Linked DNA regions of Mus musculus. The main gene of each other region encodes a partner of the protein of the gene in region 4 in a complex. Links are inferred from orthologs where the notes say so. Each region holds a gene or a part of one and is shown on either strand. Other genes may lie near its edges.

Region 1 (4,973 bases), on a different chromosome or scaffold from region 4:
ACAGGAAATGGGTCAGGATGGTTGCTCACCCCTGATTGGATCTGATCAAAACACAATGGCCTTATGGCGTTCAGGAATAGCCTGGTCAGAGTCTATCATCCTGGCCAGTATTTAAAACGTTTGCTTTAAATTTGACTCAAAATTGTGGTAGTGGTCCTATTTTTTCCCTCGGGAGGATAAACATTTGAGGCCAGCCTGATCTACAGAATGAGTTCCAGGATACCCAGGGCTACACAGAAAAACCCTGTCCTGAGGAGGAAAAAGAAAGAAATGGTTACTTATTTGCTGGGTGGCACATGCCATTAATCTCAGAAGTCAGGAGGCAGATCTCTCAGTTAGATGTGTTGTTCCAGGAACCACGAACTCCAAAAGATCACCAAGCAGCCCTTTGCGATGTAATAGCATTAGGGTCTCTTTATTACAAGCGCAGGCTTGGGCTCTCCTCCATCCCAATCCTGACACAGCAAGGACAGAAAGGGAAGGTGGAGCGGCCTCGAACCCTCAGCAGGACAAGTTTTTATAGAAAAATAGGAGCAAGGGAGGGGGTGAGGGAGAGGGTGTCCAGTCTGGCAAGCATCTAATAGAATGGCTATAAGCTGAGAGGTGGGTGCTCTGAAATAAGGCCGTATACAAATAGCCTGAAGGTACATCTGAAACAGTCAGACTAATCTTTGATTAACTATTGATAGGAAGTAGCCAGGAAGTGTCCTCTGGCCAAGGACAAGCCGTGTGGTCCTTCCTGGTACGTGGGTACAGTCCCAAGATGGGGTAGGTTTGGTCTCTCAGATGGCCAGTCTGGCCTACTGATCAAGTTCCAAGACAGACAGGCCTACAAAGAGAAACCCTGTATTGAAAATCCAAAACAAAAGGCAAGCTTGATGGCACACTAAATTGTAAGGGCTTAGACTTTGGCTGGAACTCAGAAGAGCCCTGGGAAAAACTGAGCTCGGGTGCTTCTCAGTCTCCTCTCTGCCACCTCCCCTGACCCCTGCTCTGGAGGGCAGAGCATGGCAGAACCTACCGCTCCCTCTCCTGACCCTAAATTCTGATTCTCCCCCCCACCCCCCAAGACAGGGTTTCTGGCTGTCCTAGAACACTCCGTAGACCAGGCTGGTCTCGAACTCAGAAATCCACCTGCCTCTGCCTCCCAAGTGCTGGGATTAAAGGCATGCACAACTACTGCCAGGCTTAAATTCTGATTCTTGAGAGCTAGAACTTCACAGGCCTTGCTGTGTGTCCATTGTATTCCAACCGGCTGGGAGTGTTTCGGTCCAAATGTGGGCCGTGCTTTTGCTGTGGTTCAGACAACAGATCCCAGAAAAGAGGAGGGAGCATGGATGCTTCACTTACTGTCATACGTTGGCAGACACATGCAGAATGACCACATGCTTTCAGCTGCTACAACAGAGGAATCAACAGAGAATCTTAGAGATTTCCATCTTACTAAATGTGGAAATGGTTGGGTTTCGAACTTGGGACAAATGGCTTAGGTGGCTATAGCATATCAAAGCAGAGCTGGCCACCAGCTTCTCTCTGTAATCCTCCACCCTCTACGTGTCACAGAGCCTCCTATCAGGCATACCCTGCCTCCTATCCTGAACTCTTGGGCCTTGAGGTCTGCTCTTCCCTACATAATCCAATCATTTCTGTAACCTGCTGTCTTTGTGCCTTTGGGCCTCCTGGCTGCTGTGCCTGGCTCCTCCCACTCCCTTCTTCCTCCCCTTCCCTCTCCCCACATAGCACAGCTCAGCCTGTTCCTGTCTATTCAGCACTCTCCCGGAGGTCCCTGACTCTGGCTGTGCTCTCTCTCCCACACAGCTATAATAAACTCTCTCCTCCACCATATCTGGGAACAGTCATGTTCCTTTTCCTTTCTTATTTCTTTTCTTTCTTTTTCTTTTTTTTTTTTCCCATTCAGAGTGTGTTTCTAACTCGTCACACTCTTCCTTTTCCTGTGATGACAAGGTCGGTGTGAAGCTTTGTGTTTCGAGCTTGACAGGATCTAGATGAGCCTCAGGTCACACCTCTGAGGGATCGTCTGCCTTAGGTTAACTGAGGTAGAGCATCTGCTATGAAAAGTGACCAGGACTTGGGTCCTCCCTGCATAAAGAGAAGAAGGCTACGTGAGTATGAGTTGGTCCCCTGCATCCTGACAGTGGGTGCCTTGTGACCAGCTGCTTCAGGGTCTGACACCATGATTTATCCACCATCATGGACTGTACCCTGGAGACTAGTGAGCCCAAATCAACCCTGCCTTCATTACGATGTTTCTGTCGGAGTGTTTTACCACAGCAAGAAAATTGACTACTTCACAGCTTCTCCTCCTGTGATATCAGAAACCACTTGGTCTCCAGTAGTCTTTAGCCTTAGATGTCCTCGGTGCGAGAGTCCTTGCCTGAGGAAGCAAGCCGAAGAAACTGCATATGCGATCCCAGCGCAATCATGAAAGAAACCACATAACGTTATCTGAAAGAGCCCCCCAGCACTGCGATGGGATAGCGTGTGGGGGTTCAGCATTCTGAAAGAATGCAGAACTGAAAAGGATGACTGTAGCCCCAAAGAGAGCTAAGATGTGTGGGGCGTGACACCATTTTATTAAAATGTCTTAGATCTGCCATATTTACTCAGAATGTTAGGTGCTAGGTTCTGTGGGAAACAAGGAAAGCAGAAGGGCGCTCCCTGCCTCTAGCACTTACAGCAGAGCCCCTGTGTTCAGGTGCTGGGATAGAGAATGAAGAGAAATGCAGAGGAAGGGAAATCAATCTCTGTGGCCTTCTCGGGGTCAGGGAGGGTTTCATGTCGGGTGTGAGACAAAACTGATTCTCTGAGGACAGGCAGGTGGGCTCTGGTTGCACAGGCCTGGAATTCTAGCTACTTAGGTTGTGGCGAATTCAAGCCAGACCTAGGCTGCAAAGCAAGTTCAAGGACAGTCTTGGAAACCTAGTGAGATCCTGTCTCAAAATCATTTTTTAAAAGCCGGGGAAGGGGCTGGAGTTGGAGGTCAACGGTAAAGTACTTGCACAACATGTGAGAGGCTCTGGGTTTGATCTTCAGTACCGGTGGGGTGGGGTGGGGTAGGCTGGGAGGATGGATAACAGTAAAGTCTTCAGAAAAACGTATGATGAGAATCCACATTTAGGGTCTCAATTGTTTATTTGGTTAATTACCCATTCAGCCAATCATGAGAGTTTTACTAAGTATCCCTAGGAAGATGCTGGCATTGTTTGAAGTATACAGAGCTGAAAATGACCCCAGTCTCTTGCATGCTTAATATGAGGGTTCTTTGAAAGAATAAGTATACCTTACACATTCATTGTGACTAGGGTAGTCTGCCAACCAAATAAAACAGCAGTCATGATTTTAAAGGCTACCTGTGGCTATCTAAAGTCACGTAGAATCTAGATCATTTTTCTCTTGCTCCATTTTCCTTCCTTCTCCTCTGTCTCTGTCTCCAAAAACCCCAGCTTCGCCTCCCTTTTCCCTGTCCAATTACAGGCTTCTTGTTGTATTAACATTCAAATTGATTGGACCTGGAAAATTCTGCTACACAAAACTGCTGGGGTCCCACCCCCACATTCAGGTACTGAGATGGAGCACGGAGAGGCAGAGCAGAGGTTGATGATCTCTGGCCTTTAACCCTCTCTTGTTCTTCTGGGCCAACAGCTGATGGCTTCTGGAAATTAACTCTCTCTTGGTATTGGGGGCGGGAGTTGGGTGGGGAGGGAGGGTGCTGGTGGCAAAAGCTGACAATTAACTCCTGCTAATAGCAGCAGAGGATTAAGAAAAGAAACTTAGTTATTTGGGCTCTTTATTCTTTGACTCAGGCCTCTTGCTGTCCAGGTGAGAGGCCCAGAGATCCTTAACCAAATGAAAAGAGAGAGAGAGGGAGAGAGAGAGAGAGAGAGAGAGAGAGAGAGAGAGAGAGAGAGAGAGAGAAAGTCAGGCACACACAGAGAAGCAGAAAATGGCTATACCACCCCTTTATTGTTGTTCTTAGTTTTTAGTTTTTATACCTTCTCAGGATAATTGATCACATGGTGGTTTTTGTTTTGTTTTGTTTTGTTTTGTTTTTTGGTTTTGGTTTTTCGAGACAGGGTTTCTCTGTATAGCCCTGGCTGTCCTGGAGCTCACTTTGTAGACCAGGCTGGCCTCGAACTCAGAAATCCGCCTGCCTCTGCCTCCCGAGTGCTGGGATTAAAGGTGTGCGCCACCACGCCCGGCTGATCACATGGTTTTTAAAGCATTCTTACATTCCATAAGTTCATAGTAAGTTTAAGGCAAAATGGTTCATGTCATGGGTCGATAAGGCTTCAGGAGTTACAGTAACATTGTTTACATGTCTTTCCATTAAGACTAGTACCTGAATAAATAGTCACTATTTTATGGTTCTACAAGATCATTATAAGTTTAAAGTAATAGTTTTTATGTTCCAAGTTAGCATGGGTTTGTCAAGAGACAAATCATCTGCCTTGTGTCTTATTATTTTAATCTTGTATAGGTAAACTAGTTCATCACTTATTTTCTGTCCTTGCACCTACAATAAATTGCCCACCTCCAGTTTATGACCTTTAGTTACCAGAGAGTGGCCTCATTCTTAACCTACAAGAATGTTTTCCCTGAGTGTAAATTTGTTCCAAGCCAGTTTTCTTTTCCTAGAGCAATAAGCTCATGAACCTGAAGGTTTACAAAACTCTATTTGCAGCTTTTATTCTATAGGGGGCTTGAAATTACTTGTATTAGTTTAGGAGTATAAAATCATTATCAGGAATTATGAAATCATCAGTTCATCTACACAGCATTGCTGCATGAAAGTACATCTCCATATTTATTCTGCAAGAGAGCTTCCCAATAGGATGGGCTGATGCCCAGGAAGCAGTAGGCTATGCAATAGTGACAGGAAAGACCTATCAGCAGCGAGAAGCAATCCTGGTCTCTGAGGACCCTGCATCTCAGAGCACATGCATTGCAGTCAT
Region 2 (5,244 bases), on a different chromosome or scaffold from region 4:
AGATAGAATGGGTGCTCTTCTCTCTTCCTGAGAGCAAGACCAGCCTGGGGAATCTTGCCCAGCAGGTATGAGGCCCCAGGTTCAACCCTAAGTACTGGGTAAATAAAAGAACAAAAGGACAGGATGGTAATGAGGCCATTAAGCAAAAAGCAGAAGCCCAGGCCAGGCAGCTTCAAGAATTCTGAGAAGTCCAAGACTAAGGGAAGGGGGCATCCCCAAAAGGTACCACCTGACTTTCCCCAGGCTCAGATTCCTGTCTGCCATTGTTAGGTGTACAGTGAGGACCTGGGTGGTCAGAGGAAGCCCCAAACCCCTGAACTTCAAAATGTTCTCACAGGTCCCTGCCCTGTGGAACCAGCCCAGCCAAGGGACATACAGACTTGTTGTAACAACCCGGGGGGGGGGGGGGCGCTACTGTGCGCCAAGTGGGGTGTTTTATGCCCATCAGAAGGTTGAGGCAATTGGCTTTCTTTTGAGTTTGAGGCAAGCCTGCAACATAACAAAACACACTACATAGAACCTTAGTGAAAACTGTTGTGAGTAGCTTTTCTAGAAAAGTCCAGAGATGTTTACAAGCAAAATCAAGGGAAGGGCTGAGTCCAGGTAACTGAATGCCTCTGAGCTGGGGCAGGTGCTTCTGAACGGGAAGGGTCCTACTGTTCCATCTTACCTCCCAGTCTTCCAAGTTCTGTACAGCCACAAATAGGCAGCCTGTGACATAGAAGAGCTTCCAGCCCAGACTATCTGCAAGCAGACAGTATATCAGCTCATTAGCTCAGGAGCCAAGGTGATGTCCATAGGTGGTCCTTCCCAGCCCAACCTTTCTTTTGGCTCAGATTAGAGGCTTAGGTAATGTGCTTCTGTCACCGGAGCTACTTAAGCCCCAAACTCTGCCTAATTCCACCTAGAGGATGGGTAGATCGATACAGCCTTGCCATGGAGATGGGACACATCCTCCCTGCAAGGTGACAGGCAAATGCTAAAGAGCTTTACAAGAGGACTTTGTAACACAGTAAGAGATTTAAGATACAAGACATGGCCTGGGATCATCTCCCACACAAGGCCACCCCAAAGCCACACACACCAAGACTGCTTTTTGTTCATTTCCAAGTGCAAGGAAGCTGAAGGGGAGAACATACTTTACCTCCACTGTAATAGGCAGCAGCCAGGCCAGTGGATAATATTCCTGTAGAGAGAGGGAGAGAGTACCTTGTTAACTAGCCAAGGGAAGACCCATTTCTTCACAGTGCTATAGCTGTCTCATGGTAGCACAGCTTGTTCAGGGGCAACAGGTAGAGGCTACCTAGTACAGAGTTGGTGAGCCAGCTAAGATGTTTGTTTCAAAACGGAGGAGAAGGGGACTGGAAAAGAGGGCTTACTGATTAAGAGTATATACTACTTTTGCAGAGGACCCAGTTCAGTACTCAGCACCAGCACCCATGTCAGGCCATCGCAACCTCATGCAACTTCAGCTCCAAGAGAGCTAATGCTCTTCTGGATTCCACAGGCACCTATACGTACCTGCATAGAACCCCCATATAGATACACACATAGTTTAAAAATAAAATTAAATAAAAAGCAAGATATCCCATCATGGCATTCACCAGACTTGTCTGCAAACAAATGACAAACGCACAAATGACCCTGAGGTAGGTATTGCTTACATGGGATGAGGGATGAAGACTACTTACAGAATTATAACAACACCCGAGCATAACATGCAGAAAAGCATGTGTATATCATAAGGACAGACTGCAGAGATGCTGCTGAAGCCACAGCTAGTGCCTCACCTCAGACTGTACAGCCCAGCCAACACAAGTGCACCTGTCCCTGAGATACAAGAGCCTTCTGACAGGCAGCGATGGAGGAAGAGGCTAAGTGCGCTTATGAAGAGGTCTGAGCCAGGGAAGAGGAAAGATGGGAACCCATGATCACCTGTCACACAGAAGGAAAACTATAGTGACCTCATAAAAAGCAGATAGGCTGGGAGGGCATCTCAGTGTTAAAGAAGTGTGCCCAGCTTGCAAGGCAGGGAGGGTATCTCAGTGTTAGAGTGTGCCTAGCATGCAAGGGGGTCGGTCCTGCATGCCATCTGAAAGAAAAGGCACCCTGAGGGTTAATGAAACATGCTTTATCAAGGCCTTGTATTGAGAACCTCTAATAGAACACAAAGAAGCTGTTTACGTCGCTTTTTAGATTGGGGGTGGGGTGGGGGGTGGGAAGCCTTACCGACCAGCAGGGACCAAGACCGGATGCCTGGAGCCCTCTTCAGATGGAGGCGGGTGCTGGTGCGTGTCTCCACCTGCATATACATTCTTGGAACCTGGGCTCTACTGCACAGCCGACCAGGCTTGGAAAAACACAACTGAAGCCTGCAACCAGTGCACATAGGCAGCACCTCATTAGTCCAGTCAGGAGGCCAGGGGAAGGTCCACAGCAGACCCCGAACACCTTTCTCTTATGAGCCCACTTAACTCACAATTATGTATGGGCATCGGGGCTACACAGCTCACAAATTTGGTGTTGGTCTGAACTCACTTCCAAGCCCCCAGTCTTGTGAACCCTTTTCTTGACTGAACTCTTATCTTTAAGTTGTTCCATTAGTAAGCCCCCTCCCCCTCCCCCGCCCCGACACACACACACACAACTCAGGCTTCCGGCACCTTACCCGAATCTTCCAGAAACAACTCTTCCCACCAAGAACGGGAAGTGAAAGTACCATCGTGTATGAGTCTCTACATTCATAAGCTGTCAGATCCCTGTTATTGACGCCAGACTACCTAACAATGGCCCAAATGCGCCGAATTAATGGGACACTGCGGCAGGACGTCTGGAGATTAACACCCAAGGCCCCAGTTCTGAGTGGCTCCTTGGATTCCCAGGGGCAATCAAGCTTCATACCCTACATCCTCAAGAATCCTAGTTAGGCACATAACTTGCCTCCCTCTGGCTTCAGTTACCAACAAGCTCCACTAGCGGCCCGTTACGCTGGCTCCTCCTCCGGAGTGCACACGCCCGGCTTCCTCAATTTGCCTTGCGCCTGGTCCAGATCCGCAAGCGATGACCCGCACAGGGCTCGGCGGGTCGGAACCCGAAAAGTTGTAGGACACGCACCTATGCGGACAACGAGGGACTTGTAGGAGAATGAGTGGGAGAGAACAGCCCCTCGAACTTCCGGACTTCTGTTCCGCAGACTTCCGGGATAAGAGCTGGGTGGGAACCTCCCAGGGGTGGAGACTGAGTGATTACGCAGTCGGGGGTTGTGCCTTTGTGCTTCACACTCCTGGGGACAGGGACAGGTAGGGCACCTGAATTTAGCCCCTTGGCCAACCAAGAAAGATGTCACTCAAGGAGGTTTCCTAGTTAAGCAGGATATGGGCGTGGTTTAGAAGCCTGGGGAGTGAGTGGATCTGGATTGGGTTTTTTTGTTTGTTTGTTTTTGGGGGGTTTTTTGGGTTTTCCAGACAAGGTTTCTCTGTGTAGCTCTGGCTGGCCTGGAACTCAGAGGGATCTTCATGCTTCTGCCTCCCGAATGCTGGGATTAAAGGTGTGTGCCACCGCCTCCTGGCTAGATCTGTAATTTTCAGGAAATGATAAGAGGTCATATTCACCAGATGCCTAAGGTATAGCAAACATGATCTGACTACCCGAGGTCAATCTAACAAAAGATGCACAATAAATGAAAGTGGGGACATGGCCACTCCTAGGTATTGTTGACGAGTTTCTTATTGTAAATGTGAGGGAAAGCACATATGGAAGCGTCTGGTTGAACATGTCCAGCAGAATAGAGCCATGAGAGGAAAGAGAGAGGGGCAGAGTAAGAGATGAAGAGAGGCGAGATGGAGACAAAAGACCAAGAGGGCAGACAGCACGTAGTCACGATGTCAGATGTCAGCACGTAGTCACGATGTCTGGGTTTTATAGGCAAAGAGAAGTTGGAGGGAAGGGAAGGGAAGGGGAGGGGAGTTGAGGGGAGGGAAGGGAAGGGAAGGCAGGGGCTTGGGCAGGGTTAGAGAGGTCTAGGGTAGTGGGCAAGAGCTGAGGAGTCAGGACTCTGTAACAGGTACTTGCTGAGAGCATGGCCATCATCTACTTTGATGGTCAATAGGCACCTCAGTTAGCCATTTGTCCCCGGTTTCTTTCAGACCTAACACACAATAACTAGTGACGTAAAACCTGGATCACATGTTCCTATTTTGTAGTTTGCCTCCAACATACCTACGATGATCTGTGGGTGCTAGGACGGCATGCTGGAGCAGAGATTTCCATTACTTTACCGTTCTCTTTAGATCTACTTGTTATGGGATTCCTAATTTTATAATGACTTTATAAAAGTACACAGCATGACCCTTGAAGTTTTGTCAATTTATAGTTACAGTATATACTGAGAAAACTGGATGAGGCAGTCTCTCTCTAATATTTACTTATTTATTTTATGTATAGGAATACACTGTAGCTGTCTTCAGACACACCAGAAGAGGGCATCAGATCCCATTGCAAATGGTTGTGAGCCACCATGTGGTTGCTGGGAATTGAACCTCAGGACCTCTGGGAAAGTAGCTAGTACTCTTTACTATTGAGCCAACTCTCGATCCCTGTTTTTTGTTGTTTTTGCTTGTCTGTATGATGTGCGTGTGTGAGTGTGTGCATGTATTTCTGGTTGGCCTGGAACTCTGGGATCTGGCCCAATCTGTCTTGCGAGTGCTAGAATTAAAAGCACACGCTGCTATACTCAGTTTAAAGCTGGATTTATTCTCTTTTTTTTTCTTTTTTTCTCTTTCTCTTTATCTCTCCCTCTCCTTTTTTTTTTTTTTTTTTTCAAAACCTGGCTGTCCTGGAACTCACTCTGTAGACCAGGCTAGCTTCAAATACACAGAGATCTACCTGCCTCTGTCTCTTGAGTGCTGGGAACTGCCCAGTTTAAGAAGAGGCTTTTATTTATAGACTGGCACCAGGTCTACACCCAGGACTCGGAATTCCTGAATGCAGTCCCCAGTCACCTCAGTCAGGGGTTTATAAAGGCAAAAACCACAAGTTACATTCTGTGCTAGTACAAGCAGAAGGTCCTCTTATGCAAAACAAGCTTTATTTACCGAAGCAGAAACAGAAATTTAAAAAGTAACCTTTAACAGCCCTTAACATTTGGAAGTCTAATTTTGCTTTGCAGTTCTCAAAAAGCCCAGAGATTTTAAACTGTAAACATAACATTAGCGTTAGCCATGAACATAATGTTAGCCATGACTG
Region 3 (5,019 bases), on a different chromosome or scaffold from region 4:
TGGTGATGCGTGCCTTCACACACACACACACACACACACAGACACACACAGAGAACACACACAGACACACACACACAGAGAACACACACAGACACACACACACACACACACACAGAGAACACACACACACACACGCACACAGACACACACACACAGAGACACACAGAAACACACACACCACAATACACTGTTTAGAACAAGACTGAAAACTCCATGGCCAGGAACTGCATTTTTATGTCTAACATTCTTCACTGACCCTCATAGTGAAAACAAACAAACCCCAACAACGGTAGTGAGGCGAGAAGCAAGTGGGAACGGCTCAGGAGAATAGGCACTGGACTCAAAGAAAAGGAAAAGGAGAAGAGAAAAGCACAGCAACAACGGTAACCAGCACTCGCTCAGCGCTCCACAAGGACCGGGCACTCAAGAGCCTCTTCATACTCAGCATCTCATTTAGGCTTGTTTAACTTTCCCTTGAGGCATCTCTCTTGAGGAAGAAATGATATGCTGAGGATTACTCCGTAGGTTAAAAGGGTACTGAGGGCTGGAGATGGCTCAGCAGTTCAGAGCACTGGTCATTCTTCCAGAGGGCCTGGGTTCCACTCCTATCACAACCTAATGGTTCACCGATCTCAGTAACTCCAGTCTCAGGAGATCCTCTGCTGGCATCAACATACGGCACGGACATACACACAAAAACACCCATACACATTAAAAAATGTAGGGAGAAAAAGAAAGGTGTGGCAATCCAAATGAACCCTACAGGAGGCATTCTACACGTTTTTACTAGATTTTCTTTTTAAAGCCAGCAACAGGCTAAGACGTATCTCAGCTGTTCAGACGTGCCAGGAAACCTAAGGCCCTGAGGCCCAGCTGGGGGTGGGGGTTACAGAATGAGTGCTGGCATACCTGCTGCATGTGCATGTCAGGTCTTAGGAATTCCCAAGCACTAAGGTTTGGGTTTGGATCAGCAGCAATTTACCTTTTTAAAAAGTAATTGTCTTGAGATGTCTTTCAATGTACTTTTTCATAGTCATCCCTACTTCCTTCCAACTCCACCCCAGCCCTAAAAACTCACCTAGTCCAATCTGTGCTGCCCATCCATAGACTCAACAGTGTGAGGCCTCACACTGGGGCTAGTTTCCCTCAAGGACCACATCCATAGAGAACACTGACTGGCTCACCCCTAGAAGCATCAAGGGCCCATCTCGACTCAGCCTAGGCCCTCTCTGCCCTGGGCTAGGATCTTATACAGCTGCTGCTGAGTTCACAAGTGGAATCTAGAAAATACTGTTTCCGCTGGGTGTCCCTGACCTCTGACTCTTATAATCTCTCTTCCTCCCCTTGGTCCCTAAGCTCTGGGAGGAAAAGAGGATGGTGACAGAGCAATTTAACTTATTAAAACACTAGGAATGTGGTAGTATTCCCCAGCCCACAAACTGCTGGTGAAACATTTTTAACTTTTCAAGGAAAGTTCAGGTAAGTTTTAAACGTTCCCCAGCAAGGTGCTATGTTATAGTTCAACCGCAATACAAAAAGAGAGACAGACAGACAGACCCAGCCATCTTGCCTTCACTTAAAGCAGACCTGTGGCTCATACCTGTAAGCCCAACGCCTATGTCCATGTCCTCCTAACAGGAGAATCATGGAGTTGGGACCAAGGCAGTCAGAAACTAGGATTTACACAAAAAGACCCCGGCCCCACAATACAACATCTTCACTATCAAACTAAGTGCCCCAAGTGACAAAGCTTTCTTTTAGGAGGTGAAAGGAAAGCACCATTGACATTCCTACTCAATGAAATTCCAGTGTGTCGTTAAATACATTGAACCGTATCCATGAGACTTCCTGTCTCCGAGACAAATCCCACAGACAGACATGTTAGCAGAAAAATAAAGTTCTCTGACCGTCTGGCTGACTTAGTTACAGGGACGATCCCAAAGTCTAATGTAGAGTTCTGTAAATACGCTGAACAATCGCTCATAAATCCACGGGCTCATAAACCCATGGGCGGCGAGTGCTCACTGCAAGTGTGGAAGGCATTAAGCAAGTTTGGCAACGTACTCGACTGAACTAGAAAGTGGACCAGTTGCACTCTGCGTTTGAGGAAACGGGTGGTAAATCTCCAAGCTTCCTCGTTAACACGAACCTACACAAGCTACGCTGAGACGCGCGATTTTGCTCCGATTACACTGAGATTCTTGTTTCTACCGAAGGGGTGGGGGGAACGGGACGGACTGCATAAGACCAGTCTTGTCTCCCTCAAGGGCCTGAAACCATCACGGTCAATCACGAAAAGAATTGCCTCGAGTCACAGGGAGCTGGATCTGCTACATCCATATCTAATGCCTTCAGAGAAGGTTTGTTTGTTTTTAATAACCACACTTCGTTCAATGGACAGTCTTCATCACACTCCTTCAGCTAGCATCCCAGTAACTTTCTCGGCGTAAGTGTGAAAATGAATATTTTTATAAACACCCTGTCAAGTCGAAGCAACCGAGCCCTTTCCCAAGTTCCAGGTCACCCAAGTGACTGGTGCAAACATGCATCGACCAGGGCCGGCCGACTTGGAGGCCGTTACCTATCCCAGTTCTCGGGGGGGGGGGTGCGAGGGGGTACCCTGAGTAAATGAAGAAACTATACGTCCCTTTCTCAAAAGACAAAAATTTTTTTTAAAAATGTTTCAAGAAAAATTCTTCAAACCAGCCTCGCCTACGTGCCAAGTCGAGTAGGGCGACGGGCGGCGTCCGGCCCGGGAAGAAGGCAGGAGGGTGGAGTTCACTTTTCCCTCCGGCCGGCTCGCCCAGGCCCTCCCCCAACCAGAATCCGGAACCAGGCCCGGGAGGGTGGGAGGCTCGCGCCCCCCAGAAGGCCGGGCGCGCGCTCTACGCCAGCTCGAGGCTTTTCGGGCCTGCGGGGGCCCCCGATGGCGCTGCGCGCGGCACCGGGTCCGGAGCGCCAGGCGCGGCCGTGCACTCACCCGTCTCCCACCACCACACACTTGATGGCCTGCATCTGGGCCGCTCGGTGGGCCGCGGCGGCGGCGGCGGCGGCCGGTGGCTGAGGCGCGAAGCGGCGGGCTCGGGAAGCGCTGGGCGAGGCTGCGGGCGGCGGGGCGCCGAGTGCCGGGACTGCTGTCCACGCCGCCGGGCCCTCAGCGCACGGGAAGGCGAAGCGCAGCAGCAGCCACCACCCAAAGCTGGGGAAAACTGCAGAGAAACAGGAAATGGCCGCTCCACTCACATCCGGCCTCCCCTCCCCCTCGGTGCCGTCGACGCAGCTCCCAGGCTCCGGGCGGGGCCGCTCCCGCCCGCCCGCGCGCCCGCCCGCGCCGTTCCTGGCTTCCACGGGCTTTCGGGAAAGCTCGGCAACAGTCGGCTCCAGCCGGAGAACGGGCTCGGCGGCCGCGGGGCGGGGCGGCCGCCATCTTGGCACGCTAAAGCGTCCCGGTTGTGACCAGGTTTAGGAAGCCCTCTGAATCCTGGGGTTACGGGTTCGGGTCAGTGGTAGGGTCCCGTTCGCTCGCAACCTACTTGTGCCAACTCCATGGAGAGATTCCTGAGCCCCCTTGTTATGTGATAACTACAGTATGCTGTAGCGTAAGATCCTGCTAGAAAATTCTGTATAGCTCGTGCCACAGTGAGATCCAGTCTCAAAAAAGAAACTGCTAGGGATGTAGCCAAGTCAGAATGTTTGCCGGCATGTACAGCCTGGGGCTCCATCCCTAGCACATCACAGCCTGCCCTGGTGGCTCACCTGTAATCCCAGCACTTGGTGGGCGGAAGCAGTAGAATCCTGGGGATCAACCTCAAGTCCAACCTCTGGATATGCAACTCAATTGGTAGAGTGCTTCCCCGAGCAGATACAGATATGAAACCCTAGGATTGAACCTCACGACGGTATGAAACAGATGTGGTATATATCAGGTAGTGCATACCTGGAATCCCAGCTCTGGACTGGAGGTAGCAGAAACATCTGAAGTTTGACCTCTGGCTATGTAGCGTCCAGCGTTAACCTGACCTACCATGAGACTTTCTCAATAGGGGTGGGGGGTGGGGAGGGAGCACTAAATAAACAAAAATATAAGGAAAAAAAAACATACATACCATTAAAATAATAAACAGAAGGATAAAGGTCAGAAGAATTCTTTTAAAGATTGCTGATATGATAGGGTAAGCATATAATTCATTCACAAATAAGGTAGCCTATTAGAAGACAAGAACATTAAAGATATTTTTGGTTATCTGTGGTGTGTGTGTGTGTGCATGTTTTCATGTGTGGGCACATGTGTGGTGCACATGTGTATAGAAGACCAAGGTTGACACTGGGTGTATTCAGTTGCTGTTCACCTTATATATATTGAAGTAAGATCTCTCATTGAACACAAAACTGGCCAATTCCAGTTAATCTAGCCAACCAGCTTGCCCTGGAGATCCCATCTTTATCTTCCGGAGTTACAGGTGAGTCACCGTACCCTCCTAGTATACTAGTTTCTGGATTGGAGCTCTGTTCCTCACACTTGCCTGGCAAGTTCCCTCCTCCTGGAGCTTAAGAGGCCAAGCTGCTCTTCCAGTAGACTGGAGTTAGGTTCCCAGCACCTGAATCACATGGCTTACAGCCACCTGTAATTCCAGCTCCAGAGCGATCCAACACCTTTGGCCCCCTGAGACACCTGCATTCATTCACGTGTGTGCACGTGAGCACAGACACAAAATCTAAAATATTTTTTTAAAGAAAAGAAACCAGACCAGGAATTCCAGCCATCCTAATATCCTAACAGTAAAAAAATAAAACAAACAAACAAAAAATAGAAACAAAACAAAAAATTTAAGGGAAGCATCTGTGGAACTATTCCACGAGAATTTCCCAGACCTGGAGGATAAACCATTTACAGATAGATAATGCCCACAGGGAAGGAAATCTGCCCCACTGCACTGTACAAACTTGTAAAACTTCAGAACCATGTGAACACATAAGACCCTTCTGGCTTCCAAAGAGAAAACAAAGTCTTAAAGAGAC
Region 4 (4,533 bases):
CGGAAGGGACTTGTGCCCCAGATCAGGCCCGGGTAGCCTGCTTCCCTATGTACCGCAGTCTCGAGTTCCGCGCGATTGGATTGGGGCAGGCACTGTGATCCACTCACCAGAGGTCTTAGGGTCCCGTGGGGAGTCCTGTGTGGACCCTTGCGGGTGTTGGGCAAGACTCTGCTGGCAAGGTAGCCCGGGGCTCGAGTCTCGACGGGGATTGACTTCTTTTTAGTACTTAATTTGAGATATTCAGTTTTCTTGGTTGTTGCGAATATATTGCCAGGAATTGTGCAGACTATGTCCTCATTTACCAACACAATCCATGACTATAGCATTGAAACCATCTCAAGCCATGCTTGACTGGTTGGTCATGTTCCACATTTTAGAAATTTCCAGTGGTCAGATTGCCCAGGAAACGTCAGCATATTTTTTGTTCTGCAGAACAGCACTTAACATTGAGAAATCTTGTCATTTTATAATTTCACTTCTTCTTCATGAAAATGTATCACACATGCACACATGCACACATGCACGTGTACATGCACGTGCGCACGTGCGCACACACACACAAACACACACACACACACACACACACACTTCAAATAATGGCTGTTATTCTCTGAAAGACATAAATGTTTATAAATAAAATAAAAATATATAAAAAGAGCATTTAAATTGAGCTGTGATCTTTTTTTTTTTTCAAGAAAAGTAACCTTTTCTTTGTGGGGGGTGAGGTTAAAACAGAGTCTGGGTATGCAGAGCACCTTAGCCTTGAATTTATAATTCTCATTCAGCCTCTTGAGTGCTTTATTGCATGCATGCACCAGAACACCCGACTCTTCCCTTTTTATAATGTATTTCTCCCTCCAGCATCCTATTTTATTTGAATTTAAAAGTGACATACCAAGATACTTGATCTCTATTGCCACCCTTACCCAACCATTCTCAATGCATATTTTGGTTCCATGAACCTTATTCAATCTGCTAGCGGAAAGAACATAGGCCTGATTGCTAGAAAATGGAGATTTAATGTTGACATATCCATCCATCAACTATGGAACCTTTGCTTATCAATCATCTTTCCTTGGATAGTTTTCTTATCAACAAGCTTAGGACTAAAATGTCATTGTGCTGTTGTTGAGGGAGTAGCTGAGGTGTATGTAAAATGTTTGGCAAAGTAGTAGGCATTCATTAAATGTTTGCTATTTCTGTTTATTAGCATTTGCCTTCGGTGATGTGCTTTACATCCGTGATAACAACAGCCAATTCAGTCCAAAACATGAGCTCATGTCTCCATGCATTACCTAGACAGGGAGGGTTGTAACTGATTGACATATTTAGAACAACCTTCTTGATAAAATACAGTATCTTTGCTAGTTGGATTCACTCTTTAATGACAAGTTCAATAACAAAGACACAGGGAAAGCTCACTGATTTCAGCATCAAAGCAAGCTTTAATAGTTATTTCTAAAAGTTATCTCTAGATCATCTTCTCCCACTCACCAGACTGTTCATATACAATGGCTGCAAGTATTCAAATTCCATAAACATGATATTGCAAAAGCGGGGAAAAAATAAGAAAAATCATTTCTAGCCTTATTTTCTCATTTTAGATTTGTTGCTAATGACAGATCTCAGTATCTGTTACTAAATTCTAAGAACTAAGTACAGAAAGAGCTGTGCTGGCAGCTGGCAGCTGGTGGCTGTGAGCTGGGGGCTTGGGAGCAAAAAGAAGGAAGTTCTCAAACAACAAGCACATGTGCACTCATTTTCCATCTCATAACCAGAATAACTCAGGATAGATCTCTATTTTGGGAACTATGTTGATATCAACCCTAGCCTGCTTATGGGATTCTTTTTCTCCTCCTGGGTTGCCTCATCCAGCCTTGATATGAGGGTTTGTGCCTAGTCTTATTGCATCTTGTTATGCTGTGTTCTCTGGGAGGTCTGCTCTTTTTTTTTTTTTTGAAGGGAAACAGAGGAACAATGGATCTGGGGAAGAGGAGGTGTGGAGGCAGGGCTGGGAGAGGGAGAGGGGCCAGTCTGCAGTCTGGATCTATTGTCTGCAAGAAAAATAAAGACAAGGAAAACCCCAGAAAACTGGAGAAGGATTCTTGTAGCAACAAACAGACTCATTACCACTTTTGTTAGAACACGGTGTTTTCAGAGTCCTTGTAACTGAGATCAAACTTTGCCACAAATAGTTAAAATTGACTCATTAATTATACCAAACAAATGTATGTTGAATGAATGACCTAATGCCTAGGGTGCAACACGAAGGTCTGTCTGGACCTTTGTCCCAGGGCAACAATTCTCCTGGTACCATGTGCACATCTAGGAAGGCCTTATTTACCAGAACCAGCCTTGAGTGCTCTAAGGATGCTAAGCGAACAAGAGCATAGCAGGAACATAAGGAGAATCTGAGCTCTCCCTTCGTCTAGTCCCTTCAAAATCTTCATACAATAGCAAAATTTGTGATCAGAACTAAAACTATGCAATGCAATATGAAGTCAAAACAAGATGAGCGCATGCGTCCTTTAGTTACATGTGATACATATCAAGTAGCAATGGAGGCCGAATCCTAACCACCATGAGACCCTTTGCCTCTGACACTTCCCTTGTGAGTGTGGTGCTTTCCTTTCTCTCCTGTTGGCTTCACCACTTTCTCTCCATCAAGGCCTCTGCTCTCTACTCTTCCTTCCTCATTACCAAAGCTGAATAGTTATAAGTCTTTGTATTCCTGGGGGGGGGGGGGCAGTCAGAAATGCTTTTAGTTCCCAGAAAGAGGAGTAGTTTTCTCTTTTTTTTTTTTTTTTTCACATGTGACTAGTCTAGCAGTCATCTAGACTCTGTCTTGCATTTCTGGATGCCCATAAAATATCGGATGTGATTTTACTCTTAACCCAGTTATTTGGGGATTACAGTTTCTAAAATTTATATTTTAGGAAGATGGTGATGCTGGTACTAGTGGTGATGAAAATGCTGCAATTAAAAAAAAAAAAACAAGTTATTGTCTATGCACATAAGATCTATTTGTATAGGTATTTAAGCCAAAGAAGAAATGGATTCTAAGCAGGATATGTATTATCATGTATACATTTCTTAGAATTCAGTTCAAAGTTTGGCTGGAGCAGATCATTTCTGTCAGTAAATAAATGTGTTCTTCTTTTTCAGCTTACAGACTGGAACTAGAAGTGTTAGCCACCATCATCATAGGAGAATAGGTCTCTGAATTCATGCCTCCTCCCTTCAAATGACAGTTGGATGAATACCAGTAGAATGGCCTGACTCTCCCTATTGGTTCATATCTTTCTCTCTACTCCCAGGGGAATCAGGATACTTTGGTGTGTAAAAGAAACAGAAGGGTAATTCTGTCTCTGGCCATACATTCCATTATGATATAGTTCTGAATGTTTGCATCTATTTGTTCAATCATTCATTCATTCATTCAATAAACTGACCTTGAACACCAATTCTGCCAAACACCATGGTAAATGTAGAGTGCTACTTTAACTCCAATCAGTCTAATATTTCTTACTAGGAATAATCTCTGACCCAGTTAAACTGTTGTGCTGATAAAACTGGAATATACTTCTGTGCCGATACTGTCATTTAGGAAGTATTAAGTCACCATCAGCATCACTATCTCCTCTATTTAAAAAGTTTCCTTTAGCATGATGCTAAGGTTAAAGAGAAAACAACAGCTAAGAATGATGAGCTCTTCTTTGACTTGCTTTTTTGTTGGTGGATAGTATAAAAACTGAGGCTTGAGACAACCTGGTATTAAAGGTGAAAAGGTGACCACACCCAGAGTCAGATGGCTTAGGTGTGGTTTCAACTTCTGAATTGGAAGGAAGGTGTGGAACTCATTTGAGATCCTATTGTTTATCCTAGAGAGAGTCCCAGAAAATGCTTTTGCCTTACCCTCTTCTGGCATGTCAAAGGGAAATGTGAAACAATGCATAACTATGTATGTAAAAAGTGCTCTGAAACCATGAAGTTCCATGCAATATGACAGATGACTAGTAAGGATCTTTGGAATTCCTTTTAGGGGGCCTGTGTCATTGTGATTTCCTTTCCTCCTTCTCTCCTACAACCAACCAGCATTACTGGGACATTTGGCAGCATACACTGGTTTCCTGGTGAAAGAGCGGAGTTAGAAGTTTTCCTTGTTGAAAATGAAGTGGACTCCACGCGGGCCGGATTCTGAGTTGGAGATGCTCTGTTTACTGAGAGTTTCAGCCAAGGCTTCAGGGCCACACAGGAAAACGCCTATTGTGGTGCTTTGGAGAGAGAAAAGAAAGTTTCAGTCAACATGAGTTGGGCAGCAGCGAGGGTAGTAAATTTCCTGTTCAGTTGAGGCCACTCTATTCCTACTTTTTTCCACAAGGGACAAAAATGTTCAATTTACTCACAAGGAGCAGGCTCGACTGAGTATAGAGACGGCTGGCAAACTCAAATGGAGTTAACATCCCCAGAAAATGAAACCCAAGCAGGGGTTTGGAAATTTCTTCCACAGAGGTATCATGGTAGTGGCTGATT

Evidence for each region. Proteins that work in one complex are often made in the same cells at the same time.
Region 1: Cybb (region 4) and Ncf2 share a complex: the UniProt entries of both Homo sapiens proteins name them as parts of the phagocyte NADPH oxidase complex. The link is inferred for Mus musculus from reciprocal best matches to the Homo sapiens genes CYBB and NCF2.
Region 2: the proteins of Cybb (region 4) and Cybc1 are in contact, whole or in part, in a cryo-EM structure (PDB 8KEI), measured with the Homo sapiens proteins. The link is inferred for Mus musculus from reciprocal best matches to the Homo sapiens genes CYBB and CYBC1. Residues at the interface, in NP_000388.2 of Homo sapiens: Trp28, Asn74, Leu75, Leu76, Ser77, Phe78, Leu79, Arg80, Gly81, Ser82, Ser83, Ala84, Cys85, Cys86, Trp206, His210, Phe212, Pro266, Met268, Trp270, Lys271, Ile273, Tyr280, Tyr324, Phe326, Lys328, Leu335, Glu336, Trp337, His338; in NP_001028218.1 of Homo sapiens: Arg22, Leu26, Ala37, Ser41, Gly42, Asp43, Trp47, Phe50, Tyr51, Phe57, Gln61, Asn62, Glu64, Lys77, His97, Asp98, Gln99, Val100, Val101, Val102, Leu103, Arg108, Ser111, Glu115, Val117, Arg118, Tyr119, Phe120, Arg129, Ala131.
Region 3: Cybb (region 4) and Rac1 share a complex: the UniProt entries of both Homo sapiens proteins name them as parts of the phagocyte NADPH oxidase complex. The link is inferred for Mus musculus from reciprocal best matches to the Homo sapiens genes CYBB and RAC1.

What each region holds. Positions count from the first base shown.
Region 1 is NC_000067.6:152,798,391-152,803,363, forward strand, and holds the start of Ncf2 (neutrophil cytosol factor 2), read left to right. Parts: upstream 1-1,762; 5' UTR 1,763-2,123; intron 2,124-4,973. UniProt on the Homo sapiens protein: Subunit of the phagocyte NADPH oxidase complex that mediates the transfer of electrons from cytosolic NADPH to O2 to produce the superoxide anion (O2(-)).
Region 2 is NC_000077.6:121,226,099-121,231,342, forward strand, and holds the start of Cybc1 (cytochrome b-245 chaperone 1), read right to left. Parts: upstream 3,212-5,244; 5' UTR 2,941-3,211; intron 2,843-2,940; exon of another isoform or gene 2,746-2,842; coding exon of another isoform or gene 2,669-2,745; intron 2,373-2,668; coding exon of another isoform or gene 2,315-2,372; coding exon 2,230-2,314; intron 1,187-2,229; coding exon 1,145-1,186; intron 745-1,144; coding exon 671-744; intron 1-670. UniProt on the Homo sapiens protein: Functions as a chaperone necessary for a stable expression of the CYBA and CYBB subunits of the cytochrome b-245 heterodimer. Controls the phagocyte respiratory burst and is essential for innate immunity.
Region 3 is NC_000071.6:143,524,783-143,529,801, forward strand, and holds the start of Rac1 (ras-related C3 botulinum toxin substrate 1), read right to left. Parts: upstream 3,212-5,019; 5' UTR 3,016-3,211; coding exon 2,981-3,015; intron 1-2,980. UniProt on the Homo sapiens protein: Plasma membrane-associated small GTPase which cycles between active GTP-bound and inactive GDP-bound states.
Region 4 is NC_000086.7:9,434,070-9,438,602, forward strand, and holds the end of Cybb (cytochrome b-245 heavy chain), read right to left. Parts: intron 4,275-4,533; coding exon 4,148-4,274; 3' UTR 1,185-4,147; downstream 1-1,184. UniProt on the Homo sapiens protein: Catalytic subunit of the phagocyte NADPH oxidase complex that mediates the transfer of electrons from cytosolic NADPH to O2 to produce the superoxide anion (O2(-)).